Linked DNA regions of Arabidopsis thaliana. The protein of the gene in region 2 purifies or fractionates together with the protein of the main gene of each other region. This does not show direct contact. Each region holds a gene or a part of one and is shown on either strand. Other genes may lie near its edges. The genes, in order: PRL1 and DCL4.

The links.
Region 1: the proteins of DCL4 (region 2) and PRL1 purify together in Arabidopsis thaliana (affinity purification with western blotting, with the first as the bait; one study listed by BioGRID). This does not show direct contact.

What each region holds. Positions count from the first base shown.
Region 1 is NC_003075.7:9,022,054-9,028,550, reverse strand, and holds PRL1 (pleiotropic regulatory locus 1), read right to left. Parts: upstream 4,886-6,497; 5' UTR 4,777-4,885; coding exon 4,643-4,776; intron 4,549-4,642; coding exon 4,524-4,548; intron 4,286-4,523; coding exon 4,180-4,285; intron 4,066-4,179; coding exon 3,972-4,065; intron 3,868-3,971; coding exon 3,802-3,867; intron 3,609-3,801; coding exon 3,524-3,608; intron 3,407-3,523; coding exon 3,314-3,406; intron 3,100-3,313; coding exon 3,036-3,099; intron 2,924-3,035; coding exon 2,838-2,923; intron 2,768-2,837; coding exon 2,666-2,767; intron 2,564-2,665; coding exon 2,480-2,563; intron 2,378-2,479; coding exon 2,317-2,377; intron 2,188-2,316; coding exon 2,121-2,187; intron 2,000-2,120; coding exon 1,922-1,999; intron 1,803-1,921; coding exon 1,738-1,802; intron 1,624-1,737; coding exon 1,546-1,623; intron 1,281-1,545; coding exon 1,108-1,280; 3' UTR 743-1,107; downstream 1-742. Other genes in the region: AT4G15890 (binding protein), read right to left, coding at 5,806-6,477. UniProt on the Arabidopsis thaliana protein: Pleiotropic regulator of glucose, stress and hormone responses. Also regulates cytochrome P450 CYP90A1/CPD.
Region 2 is NC_003076.8:6,866,206-6,871,150, forward strand, and holds the start of DCL4 (dicer-like 4), read right to left. Parts: upstream 3,062-4,945; 5' UTR 2,864-3,061; coding exon 2,487-2,863; intron 2,260-2,486; coding exon 2,082-2,259; intron 1,996-2,081; coding exon 1,885-1,995; intron 1,762-1,884; exon of another isoform or gene 1,731-1,761; coding exon 1,590-1,730; intron 1,500-1,589; coding exon 1,427-1,499; intron 1,222-1,426; coding exon 1,157-1,221; intron 796-1,156; coding exon 652-795; intron 572-651; coding exon 437-571; intron 1-436. UniProt on the Arabidopsis thaliana protein: Ribonuclease (RNase) III involved in RNA-mediated post-transcriptional gene silencing (PTGS).

The DNA.
Region 1 (6,497 bases), on a different chromosome or scaffold from region 2:
TATCAAGCCTAAGAAGAACACAATCCTTTTTGCAGTAGCCGCCGGTACTAAGCCGCCGTCAGATTCCCCGGTGATGGTTTTTCGAGAGACTTTAGGGTTTGGGTTAGGCGCACTTATATAGACCACGACAGAGAAATTTGGGCTCATGGGCCTTACTGTGGACCCACTGCTCATACTTACTGCCAAAGTAAGGTTAAAAACTGAAATGTGAAAATAGTAAATGGCTAATTCATTTTTTTGGGGGGTTTTATTTATGTTTTTGCCTGTTTTCGAGAAACCCACAAGTGACTAGTGAGAAAGCTATGATAGTTTGATGCTTTGATAGTTTGATGATTGAATTGAAAGAAATAGAAGACGTAAAAACCAATGTACGTCTTCCACTAAACGATACTGGCAGTTAAAAAGGTGAAAAGTCTACAAAAGATCTGCGAATAAACAAGTATACTTTGGTACAAAAGATCAGAAGAGGTCGGTGAGATCTGAATGATGATAACTAGAACGTGTCACTTACGTATTGCAAAACCAACACACAGGTGTCTTCGCGCAAACGAGCTCACCATCACCGTCTCTTTTTAGTGGATCTTTTCCATTCAAATTGTTTACTATTTCAATATTTTCTTTTGTTTTTACACTTGGTTTCTTCGTATCAGCTGTTTTGTTTTTACACTTGGTTTCTTCGTATCAGCTGTGTAGTTACACTATAAAAGCTTCATAAACCAAACAACCCGAGCCAAAATTTAGGCTGAAAACTTTCAGTGGTGGAGACTAGAGATATAAGTTGTTGATCAAATACTTAGATTCGTCCTACAAAACTTCACAGATTTGGTTGCACAGAAATCATGATAGATCTTCGATAAGTACTAACGAAGAGAATCAAGAGACGGGAGATAAAAGTAACAAAGTTCTCTCAACATAAACAACAATACATGATCTATTATTGTTGATAGAAAAAATTACAAATGCCCTTAAAATACATAAAGTACATGGCCTTTTGTTTCCTCCCCACCACAAAACAAAGGTCCCCTCTCAAAAGTTGATCTAGGAAACAGAATCATGAAGAGATTAGTGAGATTCCAACAAGAGCTTTGAGTTACAGATACAAGTTATTTAGAAGCGCCTAATCTCCTTTGGTGGTTTGAAATTGATAGGATGAGTTTCTGGAGTTGCATTCTCATCTTCTTTCCACATCTTTATCGTCTTATCAGCCTCGCATGTTACCAATCTTGAACCTGTATTATCATAACACGCTGCATATATACCCGCTTCACTCTCCAGGGAACCTGCCATATGCCCAACCACATCCAATTAAAGACCCATTTACTATTTGCTTGTAAGACGACGCTATAGGCATTTACATAAACCATAAACCTACGTCAACTTTCTTGGTTTCCCTAGAGCTCAATCATAGTATCATACACTTCTAACATTTGAGTCTTTACCAGGGTTCAAACTTGACTACGTTGTATGAACATACCGAGACTTCTACATCTTACCATAACAAGGAGATCAGGAGCAAAAGACCATGAAAGCTATAAATGTACGTACCAGGCTGTACGATAGTTTCTGACTGTTGGAAACTGTGACCACTCTTCCAGTCCCAGAACCATATACTTCCATTATCACCTTCATTCACACATATATAGAATCAGTTTCAGTTGAAAATGATTATGTCTCACCCATTTTACTATCAAAGGAAAACAATCACAGGGACGAAAGGAATCAGAAATGATTATATACCTCCAGTGACCATCACACCATCCTCGTTTACAGCCATTGCATTAATTATGGTTTTCTGTTGCGAACTTTTCCATGGAAAAAGATAAACATTGTTCAAACACATCAATTACATAATTAATAATGACAGCTCCTATTTCAAAAGCACTGGAGATGCAAAGTATATAATTATCTAGCAGAGACTTACAGCATGTTGTGGCAGAACTCTCCCTTTGGAAGGCTAAATTTCTTGGTGTTGTCAGCTGATGCAGAAGCAAAGGCATTCCTAAAAAGAAAATTAAAGAGATAACATAAAGGAAAAGTTTAGGTGCAAAGACTTCGCTATTGGAAAGATAAAGTAGATTCAGCACGATACACAAAAGTAGATTCAGTACGACTACACATACTCTTTAGGATGGAGGGTCATTGCTCGGACAGATTTCTTATGATGTGTTAGCGTTGACATTGTTTTTCCTGCATATAATAATAATACAGCATTATTCAAATGAAACCATATATTTGCAGCAACTGATAATCAAATAAGGAAGGATTTAAATAATATGGATTTTAAGTCCAAACAATGGTTACAATGATAAGATATACCATATCGAAGGTCCCAAAATTTAATGGTCGTGTCATGGGATCCGGTGACAACTTGTGGGTCCTGCAACAACACAGATCAAAGTGAGTTCCAGTTACTATTATAAAAAGATTCAGCAAGAAATCCAAAAACCATAACAACAAGTCCATATTAAAAGAGACTTACTGTTGGACGAGTAAATACAGAACAAACGGTGTTGTCATGTCCTGAGAGTGCAAAAATTTGCATCTTGGTACGAATATCCCACACCTGCAAATAAGTAAACATGGACTTTTAAACTACAAATCCAGCAAAGTGCAAGAATTCAAACGAGAAGATATATAAATATGGATATAAATATTTTTGCCTTACCCTGCAGACAGAGTCTCGCCCCCCAGTTAATAAAACATCCAAAGTTGGGTGCAGAGCTAAGCAATAGACACCACTCAAGTGACCATGATAAGATCGGATAACCTATCAAATCAAAAATTCCAAGAGCATTAGATATGAGAAATCCAGATAATGAAGAGAATAGAGTTGTAACCTTATTCTGCTCAAGGTCCCAGCATTTGACTTGCTTGTCATCACCAGCAGAGAACATATAGGTATGTCGATTGCTTACAGCGAGGCCTGTAACAAAATTCAAAACAAAAGAGCCCAAACTTGTAACTTGTCCCGAGAGTGTTATTTATTGAAAAGTCTAACAAATATTAATAAACGAGAACAGATTTGAAAGGCTAACCTCGTACTTGCTCGATATGCCCAGTAAGTGTTAGCTTCAGAACTCCAGTTGCTACATCCCATATCTAGTGAATAAAACACAAGTAATAAATTCAGTAAACATACCAAAGTCGGAACTGCTTCTACAATCGCCAAAGTAGTGGATTTTTGGCAATGCACTAAACTAAGCTCCAGTAACTAGCCATAGAAGGGAAGTCTTGTATCATGACTTATAAGTATAACAAGAAAACATATTCGAAAAAATACAATTCATATTGAATAAGCAATCATCTCTGCTACCTTGATGGTACGATCAGCTGAACCAGTACAAAACCATTCATTACTCGGGTCAAACGCAACAGATCTGACCCAACCCAAGTGCCCCTGAATGACCTGTGAAAAGAATAATTAATCGTAAGTTAAGTAACTCCTCAAACCAGAGTTTTTTGGAGACCAACAAAAGACCAAAATCCGTATGATGCAGCAACAATGCTGAGCCACGGATTTTACCCTGTAATTCTTCCATGGTGCATGCCACTCTGGCCGGGGCCATCTACTTGGTATTCTCTCCATTAATGCAGCAGTTGACAGATTTCTGTAACACGCAAAGGAACGCAACAACAAAAAAGGAATCAGAATTAGAAGCTACATTATAAGGACAAACCAAAAAAATTCAGATTGGGGGAAGTCTAATTTGCATGCCCATGAACTACCTACACTACCTAGAGCTGCCATTAATGTATTGCAATCCAGATAAAGAAAAGCAAGTATGAGGACGAGAAAAAAACCTTTGATATGAAGATACATTTGCAGGTATAATGGTGGTGCTCTTCCCTGAGGAACCTGTATAGTTCCTTCAATTCGAGAACCGAATTCTTTTATGAGCATCCTCACGATAAAGTAGAACCATCAATTAGCATTCAGATCAACGAAACCAACAACAAAAGATAACACTTACAAGCCTTTAGGCAGTATTGGACGCAGTAAAGTTGGACCAACAACAATAGCACTCTCTGTCGCACCCTTTTGCGTACTCTTAGACCCTTCAGGAGCTGCAGAATTCATCAAGCAGATGATTTTATCCCTTCCAATACAAATAAGAATGCAAATAGCAAACAAGAAACAAGTTTTTATCTTTCACCAAGACATAGTGATATGAAAAACACCTGCGAGGGAAAGAGCATTTGAAGGTCCTGGCTGCTCATTGATGCGGTCAGGTTGACGTGGAGGTTGACTCACAACAGGTTCTACACCTCCAAACGCAACTTTCATCTGTACAAAGAAAACTTCTAAAATCAGTAACATACACAACAGAGAGAGAGAGAGAGTCTAAGTAAATCAACCATCTTTACTATTATTGGTAACAAAACCTGAAGATTTAGAACAATTATGGAAAAACCTGAATAAACCTAAAGTTCGAAGCTTTAAACCAAAATCCAATCAATAGACATTAAAAGCGAATAACTGAAATAAATTTCTAAAGACTGGTAAGAGAGACTCAATGTTTTACCTTATGGCTGAGACGAATCTGCTTGCTGCAAAAAAAAAAAAAAAAAACGAAGAAATCATAAAAACTTAGTGAAGAAAATGAAGATTCGAATCGAAAATTGGGGATCGAAGAAGACTAACGCTTCCGGGTCAGGAGGAGGGAATTGGCCATGGACGGGAGAGAAGAGTTCAAGTGATCGTTTGAGGGATTTGAGACTGAGCTTTTTCAGTGACTGTGCTTCGATGGGTTCGATCTCCGTCGTCGGAGCCGGCATCGTTCTTCTTTTAGGGTTTAGAGAGAAAGAGAAGTGAAGTGAAAAAGGGTTATATTAATAATCTCGAGTTTATTTATATCAATTTCACGATTTTGTTGCGCCGAAAAATTCTTTTAAAAGGGAAATGAACACAATTAATTTTTCTGGCTACAAATCTTCTTTTTAAGCTTTATGTTAAAAGGAAAAAATAAAGACACATATTTTCTTAATATGGTTAATGAGTAATTAGATTGATATGTATTAAGATATTGTATTTTCTTTCTCTTTATAATTACGGTTTTACCTTTTCTTAAACATACATATACCAAATGATGTATGAAAGTTTTCATGCAATATTATTGAGGTCATAAATTTTGTAACACTTTCTCAAAGACAATAGATTTATAAATTTTCAAATATTTTGCAGCATAGTTTTGATGAGAGACTCCCATGGAGTATTCAAACAAGAGATTTGCCACAAAAGTATAAATCTTCAAAAACCTTGCCCCCCACATGGAGAATGCATAAACCAAAGAAGGAAGCTCACACTATATTTTCGAATCTCTCATTTACTATCCATTTAACATGTTTCCCATAAGACATCTTCAAGAAGAAGATAAAGAGTTCAACACAAATACTTATATTTATTAAGCCAAAGAGATATGTAATCAGTCTTACATATTCGTAACATCTCTAAGCGCCATATATGTGCTAGAGATAGCTCTAATGAACTTGCAAAAGTTTTAAAGCCGTTATAGACATCAAATAGCATTTTTGAAAATATTTAATCACTTTGAGATGTTATCACTAAAATCAACACATACAACACATAAATCAATTTGAGGGCAGGGATGGATTTATCACACAAGGACAAACATGAGCAAGCAAACAAATGCGCGCACACACACACACACACCAGGTTTTAGTGTCTTATGCGGTTTATAAATACGATTTAGACTTTAATAGAGTCTCGATCTAATCTCCCAAAAAGAAAAATCGAAGTCATGCATTTACAGCAAAAGCTATTTTCTACAGTCTCATTTTTAAGTTCTAACTCTCATCATCAGACATGAAAGTTGGTCTTCTTCTCAGAGACTCCAACACATCAGCTGATGGTCGACCACTCTGGCTAACTCCACGGCTCGACCTTAGCTTCGGAACACTCATTGCGCTCAGAGGCGGCGTTGCAGCTCCACCGTTCACTTCTCTCAACACCGACCTAGCTGCCTTAGCCGCCACCACATCAGCAGCCGCAGAAACCACTCTTGATTCCAATCCCGAATCTCTAACATTCTCCTCGCTTGCTGCTGATGCTTCAGGTTCACCGTTTCTATGACTTGTCCCGCAGGCAACCCCTTGGTTAGCCATGGACCTTGCCTTTGCAGCCTCGTGCTTCTGCATATCGTAAACAAGCTCTTTCTGAAGCTGTTTGTCAGCGACAAGCATTTCTTCGATCTCGTTCTTGTAGTCTTTGAGGAGGACACGGAGGCAGTCCATGAGCGAACCTGTGAGAGGACTGTTCTTGCTCTCCAATAGCCTCTTGAGCTCAATGAAGATTGGAATCGTGTTCTGAATCAAACCTTTTCTAACAGCGTGCGTTATGGCCCTTCCTTTTGCAGTTGCTGCATCTCCACCTTCTTCCTCTATATCTGCTGTCTCCGACGATGCTCCTCTGGAAACTGATAAACGGATCTCTTTGCACGCCAAGATCTGAAACGCATCCTACACCGAGACAAAACGAG
Region 2 (4,945 bases):
GACACATATGACACCAACAAGAAACAACATACATAATTTTAATTTGGCAAAGAGGTAAGTTTACATATCGAGGTTAGATGGTTGTAACAAATTATAGAAACATGCACATAAATTTACCAAAAAAAATCTCTAGGAATTTTTATACAATTCAGCAAGCATCTAACAGAAACCCTTATTTGTTTTCCACTTTTTCCCTATTGTACAGCTATTGTGAATCTTGCCAGTCATTGTAGTCTTTGACTTCGATCTAGTACACTACTAATGCAAAAGTTTAATATAGTTGGCAATTATGGTAATAACTGTACCCTAAAACATGCATCAGCTGCTTGGTAAAACATTGAAGAAACCAGGAAATACAAGGTAATCAATACATCTGAAAGCAAAAACTGAAAACCTGATATCAAATCTATAAATTGGTTCAGTATGAAATTTCTACCTGTATTGCTCCCCAGAGGCCAAGATTCAGCAGAGTATATATGAGATTATCATGAGATCTTTTGAGAAGCCTTTTCATACTTAGGAGGGTTTGTGTTTGATGAGTATCAATCAGCAGCTTAAGTGATGCCAAGCACTGTTCATATCAGGAAGAAATATAAGCTCATATATCGAGGAACAGTGATTCAAAAGATTTATGAGACACATTTAGACAACCCGCTGTTTGATGTCCTCCAGCATGTTTTCATATCTGATGGTCGATTGAGATGCATCACTTAAAGCTGACCGATAATAATATACTTTGACTAAAGGAGATGAAACAAAACCATCCAGCTGGACATTGCTTTCCACTGAATAAACCTTTCAGATCACGAGAGACAAAAAGGGAAATTTTAGAACATTGTTTCGAAAGACCAACTGAATGTAAGAACATTAGTACGAATCTAAACATGAGAAAGATATTTCTGCCTTAGACTTCCAATAAATGATTAGTTTGGTACCATAAGCTTGGGCCGAAAATACCAAAAAAAACAAAAGATTCAAGCTTTCTCAGAGTATTATTTCTACTTTGGTATCACCCAAAACACAGCGTGATAGGGCTCAATATAAATAAGCCGGCAGTATTCAATTCTAGGAAAGATATCTTGCTACTTAAATACCAAAAATGTGTTCTAAGTTCATCTGCCAACAGCCAACCAAGGGAATTTCAGAACCAGCATACCTTGGCATTGAGCAAATTTTCAAGGCTATTAATGCTTTTCGATAAATTCTCTGATTGAAAAGACCCTGAAAAGTAGGTAAAGCTGTCAAGAGGTGGACCATCTATAGAACGAGATGATCAAAAGTAAACATGTATTATCAAGATCACGACAAACCTCACAACCGAAAGAGAACGAACAAAAGGAACTCAATGCAGAAGCTAAATCATAATAAAATCTTTGGACAGTAATGGACCAGCAATCCATAGTCACCATTAGAAAAATGGGCCTACCTTTGCCAACAACTGGAGATGCAGTCATTCCAAATATTCGAGGCCGTTGTAAACTTTCCGATTTATAGAAAACCTGCATTTGCAACAAAGTGGAGCAACTAAAAGTTGATTATATGTTAATAATATTTCAAGCACGATATACCAATAATGTGAAGGAAGATACCTTCATGATTTCTGCATAAGGATGGTTGCTTTGTTGTTGAGCATGGTGACACTCATCAAATATTAGAAGGGAGATACACTCCATCTTGATGAAACAGTGCTGTAAGTTATGCAGAAGTATTTGTGGAGTCATAACAAGAACCTGCAGGAAAATTCAGTCCCAAGAACAAAACAAACAATTGAAAGAAGATCGCATATAATAAAGTGATGGTTCCTACATAATTGTAAAATGGAAATAACAATCAACTTAAATGAGTCTCATAGGCTAAAAATAGAATGAGAAAACAGGAAATCACCTCATTCGCTGCAATCTCTCTCTCCCACTCCGAGTGGCTCTTCACAATCCTCTTGCCTCCACAATGTATTGCAACTTTGAAGTTGACAGAGTCCGCTATGACCTTGGCTTGCTGTAAACAACAACAAACTCAAGACAGTTAGAACTAATCAATCCGCATTAAACACCGACATATAATCAAGATGAACAGCCTCACACCTGTTCGACCAAAGCCACGGTGGGAGCAAGAAAAATACAAACACTTTTCTTGGGACTAAGAACCAAATGACCAAGCTCATATATAAGCATCACTGCAATGTGAGTCTTCCCACAACCTGTACCCAAATATACAATAACGTTCTCCTCCGTTGCTTTCTTACACAGCTCCACCTGATACCTTCATACAGCGAAACAAAATCATTAAGCCTTCTCAAAAACGAATTTCACCACAAGCAACACACACAAACAAAAAAAACTCGTCGCGATCTTTCCCTAAAGACAATCCGATACAACAACAGAATCGATAAAATACCATCCGTACAAAATCGTAAGCAAGGAAGCAAAGCAAAACCGAAGATAATGCGAGCTATGAAAAGTGTTGGCAAAGACGAGAAAAAATCGAACCTCCTGGCGATTTTTCTAGGGTCTTTCTCCATTTTCGGTGAAGGATCATCCGTACCAGCCGCGGAGAACAAAGAAGACGAAGAAGAGGAAAACGAAGAAACAGAGGAAGAAGAAGTGAGGTGAAGGTCGGAAGAAACATCGGCGTGGTCAAAGTCGAGTGAGCGAAGATCGTCGCCGATTTCACTGTACGGCATGGTCAAAGGAGGAGGAAGAAACTTGTGAGTGGCAGCACTAGTGTGAAGAAGAATTGGGTCCTTTTGCTGCTTTTTAGCTTTTTTGTTTTTGTTTTTTTCTTCTTCACAATTTTTTTGTTCTCTGTCTCGCTTCCCCAAAAGCTTCGAGGGAATGGTCAAGCTCAAGTCAACTTCGTCACGCATAATTCACGATCTCACGTCTCCCTCTCTCTTCTCTTCTCTTCTATTACAGCGTTATTATTAGGATTTCTTTCCAATAAATTGATTTTATCAGCTAATCAATACAATTATAACTTTTTAAGGGTATTTTTTTGGGTGGAGTGTGTGAAATTCTGAACCAGAAATCATGTGTTTCTACAATCATTGATTCTGAAAATTTTTGTGGAGTTATTGAGTTTAGAGATTTTAAAATACATCTTTTGGTAAATTTTTAGAGTGCTGATGTGTCAAGATATATAGATGAATATCTTATCTCTTCGAAATCTCAAATCTCAATTCTTTGGCTGTTAAGTTATCCTCTCTTTGTTTTACTATAAGTGTTGTTTTAACATTTTTACGAAAATTACAAAAACATATATATTAAAATTTATGTTGATTGTTGTTGATGGTTAGGGATGTTATATTACATATTTTGGTAAATTTTAAGAGTATTGATGTGCCAAAGTACATAGATGAATACTTTATCTCTTTGAAATCTCAAGTCGCGATTTCGTGGCTGTTAAGTTATCTTCTCTCCGTTTTACTTTAAGTGTCATTTAAAATTTTTACAAAAAATTATTAAAAACATTATAATTTCTATTATACCCTTACAATCTAGATGACTCTTGATTTTGATAAGGTTAAATTAGGTATTTGATCTCAGATTTTGAAAATCTAAAATGCGTTCATTTTTTAAATTTACGTATACACTTGAACTAAATTTAATTTGAAATGGATAGAGTATGATTTTTTGTACTGATATTTGTAGCATGAACTTCCGACTTGTTAAATGTCGAAGAAGAAGATTGAATCACCTTGTTGCAGGTCTTTTAGCTCTAGAAACAATTTACCATATGTGAAATTGCAGAAGTTTAACCTCATTTCATTTTTATGAGGTTAACACATACTTGAGTATTTATTTAGTCATTTTTAATATGAGTGGTGATGCAGCAATGATAAGTATTATAAAGTAAAAACATCTAAACTACATATTTTTCCATATTATACAACATTACATTGATTCATTTTGATAAATTTCCAAATTTTTATAGATTTACCTTTTGTTGATTGGACACACTTGACTACTTAAAATTTATATTGATGTACCTTTAACTAAGAAATTATGGGGAAAAAACAAGTGCACAAATTATGAATCTTGGTTGACATTCCATCAAAATCTAGGATCGAACCTTGTATTCTCCCAGTGGCGAGAGCTATATAGGCAGTGAGCCACTTTCTTTCATATCGAATGTTGGACTACTCGGTCAGCTTGTAGTGTCCAAAACTAAAGTAACAATTAAAAGAAATGACTTTTTCTTAAAATATGTTTCTTCTATTTTAAAATTAATATTTTAATTTTTTTGGGTTTTGTTTGTTTGAGGGTAATCTTCTAGGGTAACTAAGCCAAACCGAAAAAAGTTGATGTGTGTTTTTGGCTAGTTTGGTTTTCAGTCGTTCGACCACATATGTTGATATTTTGATCGTCACTCGGTTCGACCACATTTGATGTTATGATCGTCACCAGTTCGGTTCGACCACATTTGACCGCGTTATTTACTACCATAGTAATAATCGGATAAAACTCGATTGTATCATCGTATAACAAATTAGTCAACCCTAAAATATCATTCATCGACCTTTTATCCATTATAGAGAAAGTTGGTGCAAGTCTTGCATTTAAAAATAAAAAAGATTATTATCGAGAACTTTTTAATATTAGTACAAATGAGTACGTCGTTATATACCTATACCGAGTGAATATCATTGGAAATGTGATTCTTTTATAAACATCTTCTTAATTCTCATCAAGCTTTATAAAACATTACAACATTGGAAATGTTGGCTAGCACCGTTATATATCAACACTTCAAACATGCAAAAAGAAAATTATAATTATTTGCTTAGTGGTTTTGTCTAGCTAGTTATATGTATACATGTCACATGATAAATCTCTTTCTCGTGATTGTCAACGCGTGCACTTGTATTAAAGATTCCGTGTGAAATATGGAAAATTTAATTCATTTAACTCTCTACTCAAAATAAAAATAAAAAATCTTTAACTTATAC